Mus musculus: one gene and its partner. The protein of the gene in region 1 purifies or fractionates together with the protein of each later gene. This does not show direct contact. Links are inferred from orthologs where the notes say so. Each region holds a gene or a part of one and is shown in the gene's direction. Other genes may lie near its edges.

Region 1 (11,671 bases):
ATTTCCCCAGAATTTGAAATGCTGGAATTTGGTTCTTAGCACCTACTTTGGATGGCTCCCAACCACCTTTCATTTAACTTAAGTTCCATGAGATCAGATGCCCTCTTCTCAGCCTTTGCAGGCACTACACTCATGCACAAACCCCATACTCAGATACCACATACACACAGCACTTAAAATTAAAAAGACAAAAAACAAAACAAAAAAAACAACAAAAACAAAAAAATGTTCTTTGTTAAACTAACAATACAGCAGATGAAAAGTACTATAACCCAGATATTGATTATCTCATGTAATAATTTCTACCTTAACCATGTACAGCAGGAATCAGCAACACTGTCTAACGGTATAGATACTAAATATTTTTGGCTCTGTGGACACATAGGATCTCTTTGAAAATGTAAGACTGAACTTAGCTTACCAAGGCTATAAATGGAAATATATAGTAGACTTAAGTTTTATTCAATAGGCTACCATTTGTTTACATGATTGAGATGAATAACTTAACTAATGTATCATGGTTTCCAGGATTACCCTTTAGCTTCTCAGATAAGTTTGAGATGAAAATCAGTATAAATATATAGAAAAGATTAATGAAGTAGCTATGGATCTTTTTCAGAAAAGTTTTAAAGTACCTTTTTTAGAAAAAAGAAACATGAATATAACATTCTGCATCTTTTTTATGCTGTTTAAATTTAGGTATGAAGCCTATTCATGCTGCAGACAAACAGCTGCTTATAGTGGCAAATGCCCACATGCATTGGGACCCAGAGTATTCTGATGTGAAACTTATTCAGACCATGATGTTTGTCTCAGAGGTTAAAAACATTCTGGAGAAAGCCTCAAGTAGGCCTGGCAGCCCAACTGCAGATCCCAATTCCATCCCGCTGGTGCTATGTGCAGATCTTAACTCATTGCCAGATTCAGGTATTTACCACATCTTTTTTCCCCTTGCTTTCAGTTTCACATTTAGTCTTGATTGGAAGACCATCCAGCTCCTACAGAGCTCTTCTAAATTAAGGAACATACCAGTTGGAATTTGAGAGATGAGACAGTAACTAATTGATAAACAAACAAACAAGGAAACTGCTTCCAAAGGAGGGTTCAGGCTTAATTAAGTGAAACAAAACAATGAATATTTTTGTACTTTAACCATTACTACTCTTGCTCTTAACTGGAAAAAATGGTATGAGATGTCCCCAGACTTTGGAAGTGTTGTATTTATAGACGAGGGTCAATAATTGACGTGATGGCTTGGAATTGAATGGTACAATCGGTGCCTGCCAAATTATAAGAAGGGAGCTGGGGGAAGAGAATGCCCTCTCTCACTCTGCTCTCACCTTTCCATCTTCTGCCAGGGCTGCCCATTAATCAAGTCCAGGCAGAAGCTATGGGGGGTAGGGGAATATTTGCACCAATGCGAGATTAACCTCCCGAGGCACAGAGTTAAGCAAAGGTGGACACTCTTTAGAGAATATTCATCACAGATAGCTGTCTCACTTAATAATATTGGCAGGTTCTCTGTGATCTTTATATACTTACTACTAGTTTTAGAAGAATGATCACAGTTCTAGCAAGGTGGTATATCACACCACTGGACTACTTTATGTCTGGATATCATCTTTGTAAAACTTAGTTCTCCATTTTAGATCCTGAATTTCAAATGCAAAACAAAAGAATGTAAGTCTGTATTATTAGCAAAACATATTCCAAATATTACATATTATTAATAAGCTGTTAATCCTTACCAGGAATCAAATCCAAGCTTATTGCATGTTAGGCAAGCATTCCTAGCCATCAATAGTACAAATATAAAATACCCATATTTGGAAATTGTAAATAGTCACTGAATTTAGAAAATATCTGTTCGTAGTAAGTAAATGATGAGATTTTTGCAAATACTTGGTTTTGATCTCTAGGCCAGTTTGCCCCTCCCAATCCCATGTGTATGTGCACGGATACATTGTGGTATGTGCATGTGTGTATGCTCACCCACTCAATAGAAGTCAGCCTTGTGTGTTCCTCAGGTGTCATTCCTTGTTTGTCAGATTGGGTCCCTGCCAGTCTAGGGATCACCAAGTAGGCTAGGCCTACCTAGTTGGCCAATGAGCCCCAGGGATTGTCTGCTGTACACCCCCAGTGCTGGTATTACAAGAGCTCTCCACTATAATTGACTCTTTTTTTCTCTGGTTCCGAGGCTTGGACATGAGCATCATGCTCATGCTTGTATGATAGTCACTTTACTGACCGAGTTGTCTCTTCATCCCACATCCCTCTTTCTTAATTCTCTACAAAAAATAATCATTTAAGTTTCTCTAAAAGTACAAGTTTTTGTTGTATTATTTCACATGATTTCCTAAAACCATTTATGATAGCTATTAATATCACTGTTACCATAGCATAGCTCATTGGCTCAAATCACACTGTTAGGGTTGGACCCTGATTATTTCTTAGCAGCTATACATGTTATTCATTATGGATAAGGGGATAAACGTATTATTGGTCTCATTAAATTGTTTGTATGCCTAGCATATCATAAATGCTAGATAAATTGTGGTTCCTTTTGAGTTATTCACGACACTGATACTCATTTTCCTTCATATTTTGTCATCCTTAATTGTTAATAGATGAATTTAACATTATTGCAAAGTAATTATAAAAGGGGAGAGAGAGTTTTGTTTGCTAATTTGGTGGAAACTTGAAGCTGATACCACTATCAACTTTTTATACACATCTAATATTTTTGGTCTCTGGTATAAAATGTTTTTCATAGGTGTCAGACTGAGACTTAGTTAACTCAAAATAAATGAGGGTTGGAGAGATGGCTCAATGGTTAAGATCATGGCTGTTTTCCTAGAGGGATGGGGTTTGATTCCTAGCACCCACATAGTGGCTCACAACCATCTGTAATCAGTAATTCAGGTACTAGGGAACCTGATAACCCTCTTCTAACCTGTGGAGACAGACTTGCAACTAAAACACTCATCTACATAAAATAGTAAGATAAGAATTAGAAAATAAAGATTTTTCTAAGCTAACCTTGGACATTGCATTGTTGAGGATGAAAAACCTGTTTTTATTGCAAATAATTTTTTATTATAAGTGTTTTTTTATTTTTTTATATTTTCCTATGTTGTTGATTGACTATTTTGAGTACTGCTAAAGACATAGTAGTTTAGAGTAATATTACCAAAGCAGTTAATGTCAAGACCTTTCTGGTGAATGCTCTCTAGATTCTAGAAGTCATCTGAACCTAAAGAACTACTAAGGTTAACAGTATTCCTAGTGATCCTGATACTTTTTCTGAAGTAGGCAAATGCCTTTTAGTGATGTTAAGTTATATGAAATTGCTAGTGTTTAAGAATTTAAACACCAGCAACAAGAACCCATTATTTTATTTGTTTTGTTTTTGAGACGGGATCTCTTTACAGAGCCCTGGCTTGCCTGGAGTTTCCTGTGTAGACCAAGCTGTCCTGGACCTTAGAGAAAACAGCCTGCCTTTCTGCTTCCTGGGTGCTAGGATTAAAAACATGTACCACCAAGCCCAGCTAAGAATTTTATAGGATTTAAGCAAACTCTAACCATCGTGTGTCTATAGAATAAGATTTAGTAATACAGCTTTGCTGTAAACATTAAAGGGTAGTGTTCTTTATTCTGCTAGGTGTTGTGGAATATTTAAGCAACGGTGGAGTAGCTGACAACCATAAAGACTTCAAGGAACTAAGGTACAATGAGTGTCTTATGAACTTCAGCTGTAGTGGAAAGAATGGAAGCTCAGAAGGGAGAATCACACATGGCTTCCAACTTAAGAGCGCCTATGAAAATAACTTGATGCCTTATACCAATTACACCTTTGATTTCAAAGTAAGTAGCAGTCTGTGGACTAGCATCTGAACTATTTCAAATAAAAGCATGCACATAGAAAAGTAAACCCTGATGATGAAGAGTTTTCAGGGCTGCCGGTGGTGGTGGTGGTGGCGGCACATGTCTGTAGGATTGGCTAAAGAGTCTGCAGGGCTCTGGCCTCTGCCAGACCAGGCAAGCAAATGTTTCACAGACATACATGCAGGCAAAATACAGAAATAAAAGAAGAATTAGCATCGAATCAAAAACAAGCAAACAAATACAAACTAGTTTAGTGTCTGGCTTAAATATACAACTAAACAAGGAACTTTGTTGGGCTTCATGATCACAATTGATGTCATTTAAATTCTTTTTTTAAACTTTTATTTGTTGACATTTCAGATAATAGTGATAATAGCTCATAGTTCTAAAACTTTTTTACTATGTATCACTGTTGACATTCAATCAGTCTTTACCTGTTTATTACCACCTGTGCTTAGCAAGAATTTTAGCACCTGATATAGCTAAGCTTCCCTGGAATGAACATACACTATTCTGTCAAAAGTTTTCTTTGAATATCTTATTTATCTTATGATTTCCCAAGTTTCCTGTAGGAGTAGAGTTAGAGATTGTACTTAATGTCAGTCTTATCTCTGTAGTTGCATTAGTATATTCCCATGTCATCCATGGAACACTTCAATTTTTAAAAGAAAAGGAAGTCCTGCTGTTCATGTTCAGAACAAGATGTTCCTTGATGAACTGATGGCAACGGCTCATTGTGGTTACTCCCCTTTTGTTTATTTCCTGATCATTTTGTCTACTTGTAGCTATTGCCTTTACCTCTATTTGACTTTCTGTCATTTTCAGAATGAGTTGTATATCTTGTTCTATCCTAAAAAATACATATATAGAGGAAGTTGTTTAGTATACAAAGCTTAGAGAATTTATAATATAATACAAAAGGGAAATATTAAATAGGCTCATTCACATTTTCAATAACCTTTTTCCTTTTTTGTTCTGTTTTATTTTTTGAGACTGGGTTTCTCTGGGTAACCCTGGCTGACCAGGAACTGACTATGTAGACCAGGCTGGCTTCAAAATCATAGAAATTAACTCCCTTTGCCACCTGTGTGCTGGGATTAAAGGTTGAAACCACCGTGCCAGCCTCCTTTTTTCATTTTTTTATTCTTTTGAAACCAAGACAGGAGGAAGAAAGATTTGTGTTTTGATATTAGTCAGCTTTAATAGAAATGGGACAAAAACTGCTTAGAAGTTAATATAGTTTTACTAGTACATAAATCTATCCGCTTATAGCTTGCATTGTTTTGGTCACTCATACATGGTGATGCACAGTTAAGCATTTAACTAGCTCTCTGGGGTAAATAAGCCTTGATTGGTAGTGTTTTCTGTGGATTATGTGCTTGTCCGATCTGATGTGATACGTTTGTTCACATTGTTGCGAAAGGTATTGTTCAAGTTAGAAATCACCAGCTCTAGTATTTTGTAGAAGTTGAAAGAAATACTTCTGAACTTAACTTAGTGATATATAGTTTAAATCCTATGTTTATAATTATAATATATAATATTGCAAACATAACCCAGAAGAACTAATAAAAGCTCTCCAAAATACGTGTTCAGTAACTAGCTGTTATTATTGTCTTAGTATACAGTAGGTTAAGAGAAAATATTACTTTTTCCATACTTTTTAGATTCTTACTTTTTAACTTGTCCATAAACTATTAGAAAAAAAATTGGCATATTAGTTTAAGCCTTGATTTTCTGAGCTGGTCTAAAATCACTATTTCTTTAACATATCTTCAATGCATCAGGTGTTATAGCACATACCTGTAATCTCAGCATGTGATAGGGTGAGGGTCTTGAAGTCAAGCCTAGCTGGATTACATAGCAAGGCCTTGTTACATTAAATGAATAAATGAATAAATTTCACATGTAGAAATACTTCTTTCTGCTTGAGTATGGGCTCTTTGCTATAGTTAAATACTAGGTTAAGTGAAGTCTATGCAGCTTGGATTAGTGAAGGCACATTAGTTTTGCTATTTACTAATCCCATAAATTAAATCATCTAGCTCTGGGAAATAGAATAAATGTTATAATACAAGTATGTGTCTGCATGTGCATGTCTCTTCCTGCTAATGGATATTTTGCTTCAGTCCAGAACTTGTAGAAATGAATATTTTGAAGTAAATAAATTTAGACAGTTAACTGTATAGTATGTTAGACTTTACTAAACCAAGAAAGTCTTTTAGAGGTGCCTAGACATACATTTGTGTGTTTAGCATTTTTGTTTTATAATTTATGTACAAATGTAAAACTTTTTGATGCAGTAAGATGCTGTGTTTCTTTATTGAGCCACGTTTATTCATATAATAACCCATCAAACATTAGAGCCTTGTTGAATCTACAGTCAGAGTAACAGGTATCGGGAATTACAGGTTTTCTTATTTAGATTTTTCCAAAGAAAAAATTGTTCTTTTCATGGAGTTTTTCTCTTTTTAAACATATTTTCCTTTCCCCTTGTGTTCTCCCTAATCTCTTTCCAGGGTGTGATTGACTACATTTTCTATTCCAAGACTCATATGAACGTGCTTGGTGTCCTGGGGCCTTTAGATCCTCAATGGCTGGTTGAGAACAACATCACTGGGTGTCCACACCCTCACATCCCTTCAGACCACTTCTCACTGTTAACACAACTTGAACTCCACCCTCCACTCCTGCCTCTTGTCAATGGTGTTCACTTGCCTAATCGGAGGTAGTGGAGTACAGCCCCGCAGAGACGGGGATCTGTCGCTATGGACCTGTACAGTTGTAAATCAAAGTATGTAGGAGTGAAGTATGGCCATCTTTAACGCTGCTTCTTCAGGTTCCTTTCACTATGTGTTTGCTATAAGACTGTATATTTTTGTGCATACTGATATCATTTGGCACTAGGGCTGGAACCAAAGTATTGCTGTCTGTCTCTATCCAAAAGTTTAATACACTTTAAAATTGGATTTATTTTCCTATTATATTAGGAACCAACATTCACGATTGATAAATCACTAATTTGAGACCCCACACCATTGTTGTTCTCTAAAAACAAATACATTCTTTTGAATGTTTTCAAATAAGCCAATCATTTTTGTAAAAGGTGATTTAAAAAAAAAAAAAAAACTCCAAATACAAGATTTTCAATTGAATGATGGTATGCCTTATAGGAAAAACTTTGAGTTTCTGTTTTCTTTCATAACAAGCTGATTTTTGGCTCTCAAGTCATTTGCACATTATCAAAGCACTTAAATTTGCTTGATTTGTACATTAAATTTGATATAGCCACTAGCTATAACAAGACAATTCGGGAAATGAAAGACAATTGCATAACATGCTTTAAAATCAAGCATAGTATGTGACAGTTTGTTGGCCAAATGCTGGTTGTTTTGTTTGAGGAATCTTTTCTCTTCTCTTCTTTTTTCCTTTTCCTTTTCCCTTTCTCTTTTCTCTTTTTTCTTTTCTTGTCTGCCTGTTAGTCCTAATCTCTTTAGAAGTATTAACTTTAAGCCCATCTCTCAAGTTCATTTATAAGGAAATAGCAGATAATACTGCCATATATCTTGAAAGTAAAATTTGGTATTTTTAGGATGCCCACAAAATTAGTGTCTGGTATTTTTCATTTTCGTGCCCAAACTTTTATTTTCTGTCCGGTTGTACTGGAAAAATATGATCTATATCTTTACCACTACAGTTTAACACTTAAGGAAAATTGCTGAATGAAAAGCCCCTGGTCAGTTTCAGAAAGGGCAAGCCAGATAATATTATACGTGTTTTCCAAAGTAAGTAAAATGGCTGTTTGTTTGTTGTTTTGGTTTTTTTTGTTTCATTTTAAGGTAACAGTAGAGATGATTTAGAGGAAAGGACAGATTTGGGGACATAATTGAAAACCTTGGATCACTTTTTTCTGACTCTAGCTGCCAAATGGCCATCATATGCTTTTAATCTTCGTTGCCATACTGTCTAGATTTGAATTAAGCTACTGTTTTATTCCCAAAGTTTGATGCCTCTATATGTATTGGGAAACACCACCACCACCACCATTTATTGTTGGCCAGGAGGTGCCACTTGAGAATCTTACGTAAGAGGCAGAGAGCATAAACACCATTTGTGGGGAGAAAATTAGTTGGCAAAATTAGAAAATGTTAATTATGGCACAGTAACATTGGAAAAGGTTGTGTCTGTGTTTTTAAGTTTTTCTTTATTCTGCTTTTTTGCTGCTATAAGAGTTTTCTGAAATTTATATTGTAAACTTTTCATGCACTTTACTGTTTCTAGTATCAAAATGTGATATTTTTAATAAACAAGAAATTTTCCATTATGTGATGAAATTTAAAAAGAAAATAACCTATATTTGTGTCTCACTAATATATAAAGTACAAGTCAAATTTAAATTATTTAATTAGCTTTAAATATATACAAATTGTCTCCTCTTCCAAACCTGACCTCTTAGGCTGTTTTATTAGTCTTAAATGATACATTTCCTGTGGTCATTTTATACTAATTTCTTCCATAGTTTACTGATCAGGCTATATAAAAGAATATTTCCCGAAGGGTAATTTTAGTGGGATGAGGGTGGTGGGGTGATGTAATATCACGCAGGATTGCATCCAGAAGAGCTCTGTAAAGCCTAAACTCCCTTTAAAAAGTGCCTAGTGACAGAGGCGTTGTCATCTATTGTAATTGGAATGTCATTGTAGTTCAGCAAAGTTTGATGTAAATAAAATATTCTTTTAAAAATGTTAAAGTACCTGAATAAACAAACAAAAGAAACCCTTGATGACAGATTTTCCTCAGTGTTCAGGTATCCCTTCTTATATACCTCAAGCATCCAACATCTAGCCATGAAGATTGATTACCTGACGCATAGTACTGGAAAGTAGAATAGCATGAAAAACTTAACTGTGTGGACATTACCTTTTTCTGTAATCAGCTACTGTCTGTTTAGTTTTCTCCTGTTTCGGGTGGGCTTTCTTCTCTGGAGGTATGTGCACTAACAGAACATCCTTCTTTTTTTCATAGATGCATGTTAACTAGCAATGTGAGCAATATTTCCTACCATACTTCACTCCCAATATTTTTGAGATGTTTGTATAAAATGAAATTTAAAGTTCACTTATGATTGTATATGAACCACAGAGGAGCCCATTTATTAATACAAATCTTTTTTAATAGTTAAATGTAGAGGGGGAAAATAAAAAAATGGGAAACATTGTAAACAGCTTAAGTTTATTTTGTGTATGATCGAGGCACTCTGTTGCAAGAAGGTGTGTAATTGGGTCTCTCTGCTTCCAAATGCACTCTTTCAAACCATTCATTATCCTGTGTATTTTAATGTGGTTTTCGTAAATGTTGGTAGTAGCTCTGTTGAAGTAGGTGATTGTGTTTTGTTTTGGGTGGCACACACCTAGGGCATGGTATCCCAAATTTCATGTGCACGGTTTCCCTTTAGCCTCTTGCCCAAATTTAACACACTGTTTCCCCTCGTTCCCTTTGTAAAAGGAGTGGTATCTTGTTTTGAGCTGCCAGTTCAGATGATCAGAAATGCTGCTGTCCTCAGCATTGTCTTGTTAAATGCATGCCATTTGGAACTTTGGCAGTGAGAAGCCCAAAGGACAAGGTGAATGACGTGATATATATTCGATAAAAGTGAAATATATATACTCATATACTTTCTAGTTCTCAGAATAAGTTAATAAGCTTTATGCCTTTGGGCTGCTGCATATTTTATCTGATAAGAGAAAATTTGGGCATTTTTAGATTGTGCTATGTATTTTTTTAAATGTTCAATATGATTTCTGGTAATTGTCTTAAGAACTGGAGTGTTAAGTTTATTAAAATGGTGTTGTTTGAAGAAGGGGAAACTGCACTGTTTGCCATTATAAAAGTAATACAAGTGCATGTCCCGTCACCCACTGTCAGGCATCAGTATCCTCATAGCTTTACACACTCTGATGGGGAATATTGCAGCATTCTCAGGACTGACATCTGGAAAAGGCTCAAATCACTTACTGCTCCTTGCTTGTTGACTTTGTTTTACAATATTGTGCCTGGTGTCAACTTTTAAGCAACAGCACTGCCTAAAAGCAAGCAGAGAACAGAATCCCAGCACCATTCTATAGGCAACTTTTTAGAATTCAGATACAGTAAATCTGTTCAAGATTTATGATGTTTTATGTAAAAAAAATTTTGTACTACATAGCTGAATATTTTTGTTTGATTTATTTGATGTAAGGCGTGTGAACATTCATTTGAATATCACATGTTAAAGTCAGGTATGGCACAATGGGCTCTGAGACCAGCTTCCCCCCGCACCCCCCCCCCATTTGCCTTGTTCTAATCTCTTTCTTTTCAAATTGCATTTCTGGTATTCATAAGCAGATATTTAATTTTACTAATAAGCATCCTGTGTGAATGTACTTTAAAAGCCACTATGTTTTAGTGTTATGGTTTGTAGAATTATGAAACTTACCTTCTCCCCCTCCTTTTTTTGTCTTAAAGTCATAAATCTCTGAGAAGGGAGAAAGTTAAAATCCAAGACTCATATCACTTGAATCTGTGGCAGATTATGTTAAAATTGAGGGTGTGGCAATTAAACCTAGAACATGGACAATATTGTGCTGTTTAAAAATTCTGTCTCCTGAGTATGTCTTGTCAATAGGTGAAATTTTAAGTCTGTATTGTACTTCCAAGAATTAGTAAAACTCGCAAATACCACCTGTATACTCAATAGCGAATAGCAAAGGGAAGGGGAGCACACAGGAGTGGTAGGTCAGGTATGCGCCTGGAAGGGGTTAGAGAGCGCCATCTCTAACACAGGCTACATTCCCCAGTGGTAAAATTTGATGTTGGCTTAATACCGATTTAAAATTTCATCTTTTATATTCTTGTGTTTTTTGAAATATTTTAATAGTTTTGCAAAGTATACTAACTGGTTCGTAGCTTCAGTCACAGAAAACAAATTGTATTTCAGTAATGGTCCTGTAGCAAGCAAGAATTCTTTGTTACATGTTCTAAGTAACAAACATTTTGACTGAAAAGTGAGCTGTTGTGTTTGTAAGGTTTTCTTCTTCTCTCCACCCATAAAACCCAAAGTAACACCTTTCTAATGTGTTAAAAATTTGTTTACCGACTTTTATTTGGTTTGTATCCTATTTGTATGACTTTTGCGTATTAGAAGTAGATAGATTAGGTAGAGACATTAGACTTATTTTTCTAAATCAGGAACTTAAACTGAAGTTTTGAATTTGTAGACAGAGGACATTTATGCTTATGATTGTTCTGGAAGATTTTAATTTCTGTAAATGCACCATGATCCCCAAATTTAAAATTCAAACACAAGTAAATGATAGTACATCTTTAACCTGCTTATTTACCAAAGTTTAAGAATAGGGTGCCAAGAGCATCTTTCATAATTGTCACCTGAATGCTTAAAACGATAAAAGAAAACCCTTATGTGTTCTGAGCAAGAGCCACAGAAAGAAAACTAGGAAGGGAAGCAGAAGGGTGGGAGCCTGCTCAGGAAGAGGATACGGAAGAGCATGTATGCTTGTTCTGACCAAAGGCATTCGTGTCGACGTCTCAGGTAAAAGGCCTGGAGGAAGAAGCAGATTCCAGGGGAAGTTTTATTAACCCAGTAATTTTGGCATAAGTTTGGTTAACTTGATTTATTCTAGATTTGATTTACTTTTGGATCCAAAGGACAGACTGAAAGTACTCTTTATTTAGTAAGATAAGCTAATTTTCAAAGGATATGAATTAAGGGCGTGCCTATTAAATGTTG
Region 2 (11,215 bases), on another chromosome or scaffold:
TCTTTGGTTTCTGGTGAGCTAACACTCTCTCTTTCTCTCTCTCTCTCTCTCTCTCTCTGAGAGTTTGTGTGTGTGCAGGCACATATTTACAAGCTTCTGTGCCTGTGGAATGACACTACCTCTGCTGTCATCTCTGTCACTGTCTTATCTTTTTGGGGACACATTGTCTCACTACTCTGAAACTTGCCAAGTAGGCTAGGTTGGCAGGCCAAGGAGCCCCAGGCGGGTCACCTGGCTTCTGCCTCCCCAATGCTGGTATTATAAGCATATACCACTGTGTCTGGCCTTTTTTACTCCCGCAAAGCAAAGCAAAGCAAAGAGAAGACACCGTGGGATCTGGGGACTGTGCTCAAGTGTTCACTCTTGCAAGGGAAGCACGTCACCAAGTGATGTATCTTCCTAGTATGGTTTCTGCTGAGCTCTGTCGGCTTCAAGCTCTGATGGAAAATGAGCTCCTGGAATGCTTGCACAGGTAGTGGAAGGAACCCTGTGGAAGCCCAGGTTACCGAAGCCTATGTTATAGTGGACGGTGACTCTGCTCGTCTGATCAACGGTTTGGGAACTCAGGAATCTCGCCTGCTCTTGTCGTAGTACCCAGAAGAGCAGTGGCCGAGGAATCTGAAGTTGTTGAGAACCAAGTCCCTGCCCTGTGACCTTGACCCCCAACCCTTTTTCTTTTCTTTGCCCTGGCTGACCTCGAGACACTCTAGGTAGGCCATGCTGGCCTCAAGTTCAGAGAGATCGGCTTGCTTCTGCTTGCTGAGTGCTGGGATTAAAGGCATGCCACGTGGGAGGCAGGCTGGTAAGAACCAACCAGTCTGTCTCATGGCTGTTCTAAAACCAACCCACATGGTTTCCATAGCTTGTGAAAAGGGTACTTCCGGAAAGGCACTGCTTCTCGTCCGTTAGCATTTTCATGCCTTGGGATTCGGTTTTCTTCTCTTCAGTGTGGAGAACGCTTTACCTTTCTCAGGCCCAGAGTGGGAGCTTCCATGTGGGAAGGGAAGGAGAGGGAGGTGTTGGGTGGGGGCTGTTCTAAGTGGAAGGGCAGATGGCAGTGGGAGGAGAGCAGGAGGGACCAGGAAGGGACTGGGAGGCTCCGGGTGGGGACTGAGAGAGGCATTTGGCATGGAGGTGGAAGAGGAAGAGAGCTCAGGGTTAGGAAGGGAGCTGAGGCAGGGTGTTCTCAGACCACTCATCGGGTTGAGAGGAGGGGTAGGGGACAGGGAGTGGCTGAGGTTGCAATGGCTGTCAGTAGGGGCTGGGAATTTGCAGATCTAAATGGTGGGGGCGAGAGGGGGTGTGTGTTCCTGTGCGCCTGGACTGGTTGTTGGACTCTGAGCTTCTGTTTTACCAGTGTCTGTGGGAGGCTCAGGGTTCCAGCAGCAACAGTCCTGGCAGAAGGGAACACAGGTTCTGTGTCCTCGGTTTTCTTCCTGGGACTCAGCCCTCTCTGCCTGAGTGTTCAGCGGTGCATTTTACTGCCCGGATCTTCATGGCTGCCCCATGTGGCAGGAGAGGGACTTTGATCCTGGCCTCTTGTGAAGTTGAGAGATGGTGTGACCATCTTAAGGTGGTAGAGGCTCCCCTACTGATTCTTGGGCATCTCAAGTCTCTGTCAGGTTCTTGAGGTGTCCTCCACCTTCCGACTCCCTCTCATAACCGCTTTCAGGTGTGGCCACTATTCAAAGCAGATTTCTAAGGAGTGGGGGTCTGCCGGCTGCCCCACTGGGGTTGGTTCTTGAAGAGGGAGAGCAGCATTCTCTTCTCTGTTCAGGATGGATGGAGGAGGCTCCCTGCAGGCTTAACAGGACAGTGGCAGCTTGAAGATGGCTTTGATGATGAGGCTTCTGGAGGCTCCCACTAAGCAGCCATGTGTTTTTGGACACAGCTACATGGTCATCTGAGCTTAGAATTTATCCCAGGCACGAGCACCTGAATCTCATTGTATATAACAGAAAACATGTTTCATCCACAGCTGGAAGGAAATCACTGTTTGGGTGTATGCTGTGTTTCTGATACATGTCCTTTCTGACACAGTACCATGTTTGGAGAGAGCTGTGTGCTCTGTGGCCATGCACGTGACTCAGTGTCTAATATCTAGGACTTGAAGTTGAGCAAAGTTTTCCAGACTTACCTGACTAATGTCTGGTGAGCTGGTGCTATGAGCGTCTAATGTGGGGAAATAAATACACCATGGAGTGCTTACCTTTCAAGAAAAATTTGGCGATTTCCTTTGTATCAGGAAACCCTTGAGAATGGGTCAGAGTAGTCTGGCTTGGAGCCCATGTGGTAGTCCTGACTCTCTACCCACCTCTGTGACCTCAGGTGAGTAACCTGAAGCACTGCCTTTTCTCCTCAGGGTGCCTTTGGCCTTCTCAACCTCAGGACCCATATCGTCATAGGTAAACTGAGAATTTACTCCAGGCACTCTTGGAGTTTGCATGAAGAAGGTTTACACGTGTAAAGTGATCGACCCTGCCTCTCCTGGCCTAATTGCTTAGACAAACAACCAAACAAACCAAAAACAGAAACCCAAAAAAACTAGTCTCCTGTATTTTTATCTGTTTTGCAAGTGTGGATGTGAAGTGTCCAGAAAGGGAGGCCCCTTGGGGATATTTTTGTTGCTGCCCTCATGTTGAACAAATACACTGTGGATGGCAGTCATTTGGTCAGACTGCTGGCAGGAATAACTATGATAAACTAGCATGGTGTGGGGGTGCGCTTCAGCCTGATCTAGGGCCATCTCATCCTGGAGAGAGTGGCACTTCTGGGGCTGCCAGAGCTGTGCAGGATCCTTATTTTCTGGTCTCTTGGTCATTCCTTGCTCCTGCCCTTTGGACCCCACAATACAAACCCTTCCCAGCCAGTTTGAAATCTTTGTAGGTTCTAGGAAGACTCAAAGGTCATTCAGTCTGGCTACCGCATTTCAGGGATGGAGAAACCGAGGCGCAGAGGGAGAGTGTGGTTTACACAAGTTCCCACTGCTTGTGATTGTGAGTGCCTCTCTGTCCGTGTGGGCCCTAACTTTCTGAGTCCCCTCCATGTTCCTCTGTGGTATCTTTGTCCCTTCAGATGCATCATCCCAGCCCCTGGAACTGATGCTTCCTCATTCCAAGTCTTAGAGCCGGAAACACCAGGGCGAGTTGCAGATCTCTCCCCTGAATTTGCATCCGAAACAGTGGTGGAGAGTAGTGTTGGACAGTTTGGGTGGTAGCCACGTTGGGTGGTTCATGTGGAAGGTTTAGGTAAAGCGTCTTCTCAGGCGAGGAACCTCTGTCCAGAATGACAAGGACCATGGTAGCAATTTGTATCTATCAAGTATCAACTTTGTCATGGGCACACATTCCTGCTGGGAAGCCCAGTAAAGTTCTGGGACTTTTATGGCTCCCATTTACCAGATGACGAAGCAGAGGCTTGGACAGGGCATGTAACTTGGGGCCGAGGCTGCTGTGGCTGCAGGACAGAGCCTATGTCTCTGTAGGCTTAGCAGGCTCAGCACCCAGATTCTTGTCCTTCCTGTCCTGCCAGGAAGCCCTTAGGTTGTGGATGACCTGGGCTCCCAGCGAGGGACGCTTCTCAGATGCAGAAGGCAGAGGCCCTTGGGTGGGTGTGCACCCCATTCCCCAGGACTCCGTATTCCGCCCACCCTTAGAGCCCACTTGACAGTTCCTTACTCCTTTCTGCCCACAGTGGGCTGAGAGTAGATCTTTCTTTCTTAGTTGGTTCACGTCCTCCCAGCGGCCTGCCTTGTTGTCTGGGCTGGGTGGGGTACCATTGCTGCCGTCTGGTTAGAGTCACCTCCCTGACTCTAAGCTGGCTTCAGGGTGAGCTGGCTTTGGCTCCCATCCAGATTTGCTCTCAAGTCCTTCGTCTTGCTGTACCGTATAGCCTCTGTCACCTCCTCCTTCCCTCTCTCCCTCCCATGCTGCTTTAATTTCCATCTGTCAGCAGCTTATGGGAGGACAGACTGACACATTTCTCCCTGTCCCTGTCTCATCTTCCTGGTAAAGACTGACTCACCTGATTCTCTACCTTCTGCAGTATCGCCAGCTACTCAGCAGCCTGGCTTCCAGGCCTTGCCCGCTAGCCTTTACTACTCCTGCTTGTGTTAGGGTGTTGCCCTGGGCTGTGCATGTAGGTGTGGCGAGTACCAGCACCCACCCACCCTATCCTAGGTGTTTGATGAGTGAGCATGTTTTAGGGAGTGGCAGCTGGACATGGTGTGGGTGATACCATCCTGGTATTTATGCTTGCTCTGAGAGAACATTGGATAGAAGGCACACTGCTGTGCTGAAGTCCAAGGTGACCCTGCCTTCTCATCATTTGTGTGGTCTCATCTATGGGGCAGAGATGCTGGGGGCACAAAGACAAACCCTTGAGGAGCCCCCAGACAGGCAATAAAGACAAACACACAGGATTGAAAGCAGTCAGAGCTGTAGGTTAGGGCTCACGGCTCTCAGGGCTGAAGGGTTGTGTAAGCTTGGGGAGAGAGCAGATGGGCCCCTTCTTGGCTTATCCCAGAAAATGTGATCATCCAGGCATGTGCTCCTGAGTGGATCTTGAACAGCAGTAACTTAGGGCAGCAGTAATAAATGCTATTTCTGGGAATGTCCTGAGTGCTGGATGCTATGCTGACAGGCGTAGGCTTTTATTTTTCTCTCACTAATGGCTCTGTAGAGGAACACTGGGTATTCACAGGCAAAGGGAATCACACAAGGGCTCAGGTACAGGTACTGTTCCTAACTCAAAAATCCAAAACCCCAAATCTGAAACTTTAAAACACATTTCTTCAGATTCACATATTTTTAAATTTCATGTGTGTGGGTGGTTCGCTTGCATGTATATCTGGGTATCATGTGTGCATGCATTGTCTGTGGGAACCAGAAGAGGGTGTCAGGTCTCCTGGAACTAGAATTAGAAATGGTTGTTAGCTGGTCCTGTCACCCCTTTAGCTCCATACGATCTGAAACTTTCTGAGCACAGCATGGTGTCACATAGAAAGGCACACCCGGCTCCAGTGGCGGGTGAGTCTGTACAAGGTAGATATGAGATTTGGTTTGGGTTTTGTTTTCCAGGTAGCTCCTCCAGGGGCTAGGGAGACAGCTCAGCCAGGAAAGCACTTACAGACTTGAGTTTGGCCCCTGGAACCCAGGAAAAAGGCTAGACGTGGTAGTGTGGTAGTCTCCCAGCGCTGGGGAGGCGAAGAGGAGAAGGTTCCTGAGACTCCCTGGCCTGCCCACTTAGCTTACCTCAGTCCCAGGCCACTGAGAGATCCTGTCAAAAGAAAAGAGAGCAGGGCCGGCAAAAGTTCTTTCTGTCTGTCAGTGTTAACGATCCAAGTTTCATCTAAGGGACTCACATGGTAGAGGCACACACGAGGAGAGGAGGGTGTGTGTTCTTTGGCTTCAGCATACAGGTTCACATGCACCGACACACAAAGGGATCTTGTTCTATGCATGTGCAAGTATTTTAAAACTTGGAAAAGTCCAGACTCTATAAGTAGACCCAAAGCATTTTGATAAAAGCTGCCCAGCCTGTAGCATGTGAAAAAAACCTGGACTGGGACCCTGCAAGCTACCAAGCAGCTCAGCCATTTCTTTGTATGCTGTATGCTTCAGGGAAGAGAAATGAGGTCTCACAGGTAGGTGAATGACTCTGGTTTCTGGCCTGTCCCTTTTTCAGCCCCAGCAGTTGTCTGACTCGCTCGCCACCTTCTGGCTCCCAGAGCCTTTTGGAGGGGATAATGACAGCCAGCAGCTCTAAGGGAGCTCCTCAGAGGGAATCAGCAGCTTCCGGCTCCCGGGTTCTGTTGGAGGAGGAAGGACTCGCTGCAGGTGCCGGCCAAGGGGAGCCCCAGGAGCCTAGCAGAGCTCCTTTGCCATCCTCGAGGCCTCAGCCTGATGGCGAAGCCAGCCAGGTAGAAGAGGTGGATGGCACGTGGAGTCTTACGGGGGCGGCTAGGCAAAATGAGCAGGCATCAGCCCCGCCCCCCCGGCGGCCTCCCCGAGGACTTCTGCCCAGCTGCCCCAGTGAGGACTTCTCTTTTATAGAGGTCAGTGGAGGGTGAGCTGGCCGTGGTGGACGGGCTGTTGGAGGGGTCAGGGTATGTGGGTGACAAAGCCCCATTCTCAGAGCTTTCCTGAGCAGTCATGGGAGACAGACATAGGCTGTGGGGTATCTCATGGCAACAAGAAACTGCAGCAGCCATCAATCAGCTCCTGGTTTATGTTGAGATGCTCCTCTGGGGTGATGTAGGGCTCCGGGTCAGCAATAGCAATGCTGTTGCTATTGTTTTGAGCAGGACACTGAGATCCTTGATAGTGCCATGTATCGGAGTCGTGCCAACCTAGGACGTAAGCGGGGGCACCGGGCCCCAGCCATCCGGCCTGGGGGTACCCTGGGACTGTCAGAGACAGCAGACTCGGATACTCGGCTGTTCCAAGATTCAACCGGTACGATCAGTGTGTTAATTGAATGGAGTCTGTGTCAGTGTCTGGCTTGTGTGTGGGTAAGGGTGGTGTCTGGCATGTTGCTCAGGTCTCGATTCACGTTCCCTAACGTTTGCAGAGCCAAGGGCCTCCCGGGTGCCATCTTCAGATGAGGAGGTTGTAGAGGAGCCTCAGAGCCGCCGGACACGGATGTCCTTGGGCACTAAAGGGCTGAAAGTCAACCTCTTTCCTGGCCTGAGCCCATCAGCCTTGAAGGTACCGTCTGATCATTCAGCACACACACCCAGCCATCTGGCCTGCCAGCCTTCTACCCAGCATTTCCAACCAACCAGCCATCCATACAGCCATGCACCTTATAGTCCCTTTTCTCATCTCTACTCTCATTGTGGGTTCTGGAAGGTTACCTTGTTCCTTGCTCGACTCTATGCAGTGTGCCAAGTTTGATGGAAGAAAGAACAGGGTGTTCTTTCATCTCAGGGCCTCCAGGGTAATGGGTGGGGGTTGAAGGGTGGGCATAGTCTACACCCAGGAGTAGCTTAGGTGAAGGGCGAAATGTAGGAATAAAGGGGGGAGTACAGCCATGGCCTGGCCTGTTCAGTAGAAGGAGTTACTTCCTGACCGTGGCTGGGAACGGGAGGTGGCTTGGGTAGGGTTTCTTGTAAGCAGTTTCTCCTAACCTTGAGGTAGGCACAGGAGTTGGCTCTGCGGTAGGAACAGACAAGTAAAAACATAGGTGTGAGAAGTCACCCCTCTTTGTTCAGCCTTGTTCACTGAATTTTGTTCATCTGTCATCTTTCTGATGTGTTCAGGCTGTGAGGATCTGCTCTGAGGGAGACAGATCTTTGGCTGTCTGTAGAAGGTTCAGGCCTGGCTCAGGGGACTGCACACTCTTGGGAAAGGCCTGGTCTTCTGAATCTTGCTGCCTGTTTATATTTCATCTGTGTCTCCTAGGCCAAGCTACGCTCCCGGAACCGCTCAGCTGAGGAGGGGGAGGTGACAGAGAGCAAATCAAGCCAGAAAGAGTCTTCCGTCCAGCGTTCTAAGTCCTGCAAGGTCCCAGGGCTAGGGAAGCCCCTTACATTACCCCCAAAGCCAGAAAAATCCTCAGGGTAAGTAACACTTCTAGGTACTTTTTTTATTTCCTGTGGTTCGGGTATTATCCTCAGAAGAGGAAACCTATTTTATAGAGGTGGAAAACTGAAATTAATTGCTTCATGTTACGTAGGGGCACCCAGACCTGCAACTGAACCCGACTGCCTCTTTTGATTGGAGGGTAGCTGTTCTCACCTTGTTCAGTTTCTTTAAACTTTGCTTTTGTGACCTTTGTACTCTGCCTTCCAGGTCAGAAGGATCGTCGCCCAACTGGCTGCAAGCCCTGAAGCTAAAAAAGAAAAAGATCTGATCAGGGGCCAAGGTGAGGCTGTGCTTCTGGGCTTGGGGGAGAGTAGCGCCTGGTATGGAGAACTTGGGAGGCCCTGTCCTGTGCTCTCTTCTAGCCCTTAGGTCCCCTCTTTCTGTGAGAGGTTGGAGGAGACAAGGGAGACCTGGTTAGGTCCCTTGGCTCCTCTAAGTTTATTCCCAAGGCTGGTGTTTATCCTGGCTCTGAAGAGGGGGAGGGGCTTCCATACCGGCCTGTATCCTATGTGTTGGACAGTCTTTCAGGTGCTGTGGTTGCCCCTATGTGTTGAGCTAGACTGTGCAGCTTAGAGCTTCTAACCTGAGGTCCTAGCAGGGACCTCCTCAGCACTGGGCTCTCATGAGGGAATCAGGATGTCCAGAGGGCAGAGGAAGCAGGGGCCTCATCTCTTCTCTGACCTTTGTCCTCTATTCCACCCAATGCAGGTCCTTCCCATCTGGCAGTCTCAGGCAGTGCCATTCCTGTGGGGTCCCCAAGTGAGGAGACAGCTGGAGCCCCACCAGGGCTCAGACTGCAGCCTCCTTTCCCCTCCACTTCTGAGGAGTGTCTGGGAGGCACATTTATGCACTTTGTATCACCGTCCCAACTTCTTGCACCCCTTCAGCCCCCAACTGGATTCCCGTGCCCAGTGGTGGGAGGTCTTGTCCTTCCCTCAGTCTCTTCCCTTTACCCTCTTTGCTTCCATCTTCTGCCTCCCTTGGGTTTTCTTTTGATACCAATTTATAGCATTTTTATAAAAGCCTTTGATTTTTGTAATGGGTGGGCTCCCACCCCAAGCCCCACCCCAGGTCTCCCTCTGCCCCACTAGGTGCCCCACAGAGACCAATGACATTTTACCACTTGAAACAATGAATAAAGTTTTTTGGGAATTGGGGTTGTCCAGGATTGTGGTGTGTGTGTGTGTGTGTGTGTGTGTGTGTGTGTGTGTGTGTGTGTGACTCGTATTCCCCCACTGTGGGGCAGCATTTGGAGAATGCTACTTCCCCGCTGTGTGAGCTTAGCTTTTCCTCCCTGTGACAAACTATTTAAACACCTCAATGGAAGAACGACATGGCTTCACTCCATCAGGGCTGGGGGTGGGGTGTAGGGGTTAGAGGGCAGGCTAGAACAGAGCAGAGACAATATGGTATCTGGGAAGCAGAGAAACCTTTCGTTTTGGGGCTAGTGGGTTTCTTCTTGCTTTTATTCTACCTGCTCCTCAGGCTGTTGGGTAGTATCGGGGACATTCAGGCTGAATCTTCCCTTTCTGGAAATGCCTCCTTAGACCACAGAGATGTGTGCTGCTAACCTAGGCTCGTCTTGGTCCAATGGACTTAGCAAGCATACTCCAGCTGCCAGGAACTCACTCAGATGTCTGTTAGACACGTCACTCCCCTTCCATTCTCTGAGCCTAGTGTCTCTGCAGGAGGGTATTCCAATTTAAACACCACTACCCCATCTCAGTAGTTTGACACAAAAATATTTATTTCTTGTTTATGGTACAGCCCTGTATGAGTTGGTAGTGGGGTGACCTGCCAAGCATTCAGAGGAGGGAGCAGGGACAGTCTTATATCACTTTGGGCTGCTATAATCCCAAATCCAATAGGCTGAGTGGCTTAGAAATGGGAATTTATTTCTGATCGATTTGTCAGCTGGGATGTCAAATCACAGTGCTGTCAGATTCCATGGCTGGTGAGAAGTTAATTCATGGTGTACAAACAGTTCCTTTTGCACTGTGTCTGCACACAGTGGAAGTGACCAAGCAGCTCCAGGCCTTTGATCATCTACTGATCTCATGGATGATGTCTCTACTCTCCGTCACTTCCCAGAAGAGACCCATTATTCCTCCTATCGTCCACTTGAGGTTAGGATTGCAACAGTCCAGTGACAGGCACTCCAGACCCACATTCCAGCCATCCGAGGTCTTTTCTCAGTATCACTTAATCAGCCATGGATAACAGTACGAGGTGCTGTTTATCCTGGGGTGCATTGCTTTCCAGCTGTGAACCCATGGAACCAGACATTTTATAGGTGTCCTGACTACACTTACAGGACAGTCAAGAGCTGGGCATTCCCAGTCCAAAGGGAGAAGCAGACAAGAAGGCAGGAGTCAAGCATTCTCAGAAGGTCCAAAGTCTTTCACCTGGAAAACAATCTTTGTCTCAAGGCTCTGCCTCTTGGGATCACCAGAGTAGAGGGCACACCTTCTAGAGCTTCTTGGTTGGTGGGCTTGCGCCCAGGGTTGATTTTTGTGGCTCTGTTGATATTGTATGCCTGTAGCTTTCACAGTGGGATGATACGCTAATGGCCCTTCTGTCCTGAGGTCTCATGGAGCCCATGGCTCCACTGGACATGATCTGAGTGGGCTGTGTGACTCTAATTAAGTCTACACCTTCACTGTTCCCTTTCTGGGTCCTGAGACACCCTTGGCCATTCTTTGGCATTCAGGTGAAGGTAGCCATGCCCTGAAGACTTGTTTATCTTGTGTGCCCGCTGAGATGGTACTGTACAGCTAGCTGCCACTGAAGTTGACCACCTACTTGTACTTTCTGTTGTGAGAGCAGCCTTTGTTGTAACAGGGCCTACGGAACTGAACCTGAAGAGACAAGAAGTACAGTGATGAGGAGTGAGTAGAGCCTTGAAGTGGCACTGTATGTATGTCAGTATGCAGTGGGTATGCAGTCACGTCGTGGGCGCTCCTGAACCCTTCCTTAAGAATGGTTCTTTTGCCCAGGCCCTAACATTTTTGGCCTGCTGTGGAAGGCTCAGCCCCTTTCTGAAATGCCACAGGGTAGTTTGTTCCTCACTGTCTAGATGAGTAGCACTTGGCTGGTCTATACTAATGTTCATATGGGATGATCACCTGACCACACTCCTGGTGTTCCCCCTAAACACACTACGCCATTTGTGTGCAGTGGCAGAAACAAGGGAGGGTGAGGAAGGCTTCATTTGGCTCCTGGTTTCAGGTTATAGTCTGTCATACTGCAGAAGGCAAAATGGAGTAGCATGGCCCATGGTGTATGGAGAGTTTGGTGGCAGAGGTCTCATGTAGAATAGACCTGGAAGCAAGGATAGCTAAATCAGGGCCAGGTGCAGGCTCCATCTCTCAGAAGCTCCACGCCTTCAAAAGAAGCCCATAAGCAGGGGTCCAAGTGCTCAAAACTGCATATATGTGGTGGGGTGGGGGTGGGGTGGGGCAGGCACATTTCAGATTAAAACTAACATCTACCTCAAAATCTCACCCTTAAATCCTTTCTATGTTATACTATAAGAATTAAACAAAAGCCAAGTTGTATTTCCAACTCTTTGCTTAGGGGCTCTTCAGCCAAATAACATGTCTTTTCACTTGAGCTTCTGACCAACAGCT

What was found.
Region 2: the proteins of Cnot6l (region 1) and Tnks1bp1 purify together in Homo sapiens (affinity purification with mass spectrometry; 4 studies listed by BioGRID and IntAct, with this or other methods). This does not show direct contact. The link is inferred for Mus musculus from reciprocal best matches to the Homo sapiens genes CNOT6L and TNKS1BP1.

The regions. Positions count from the first base shown.
Region 1 is NC_000071.6:96,072,126-96,083,796, reverse strand, and holds part of Cnot6l (CCR4-NOT transcription complex subunit 6-like), read left to right. Parts: intron 1-699; coding exon 700-927; intron 928-3,661; coding exon 3,662-3,864; intron 3,865-6,404; coding exon 6,405-6,617; 3' UTR 6,618-11,671. UniProt on the Homo sapiens protein: Has 3'-5' poly(A) exoribonuclease activity for synthetic poly(A) RNA substrate.
Region 2 is NC_000068.7:85,064,303-85,075,517, forward strand, and holds the end of Tnks1bp1 (182 kDa tankyrase-1-binding protein), read left to right. Parts: intron 1-5,685; coding exon 5,686-6,055; intron 6,056-6,304; coding exon 6,305-6,455; intron 6,456-6,570; coding exon 6,571-6,707; intron 6,708-7,403; coding exon 7,404-7,561; intron 7,562-7,793; coding exon 7,794-7,854; 3' UTR 7,855-7,866; intron 7,867-8,294; 3' UTR 8,295-8,746; downstream 8,747-11,215.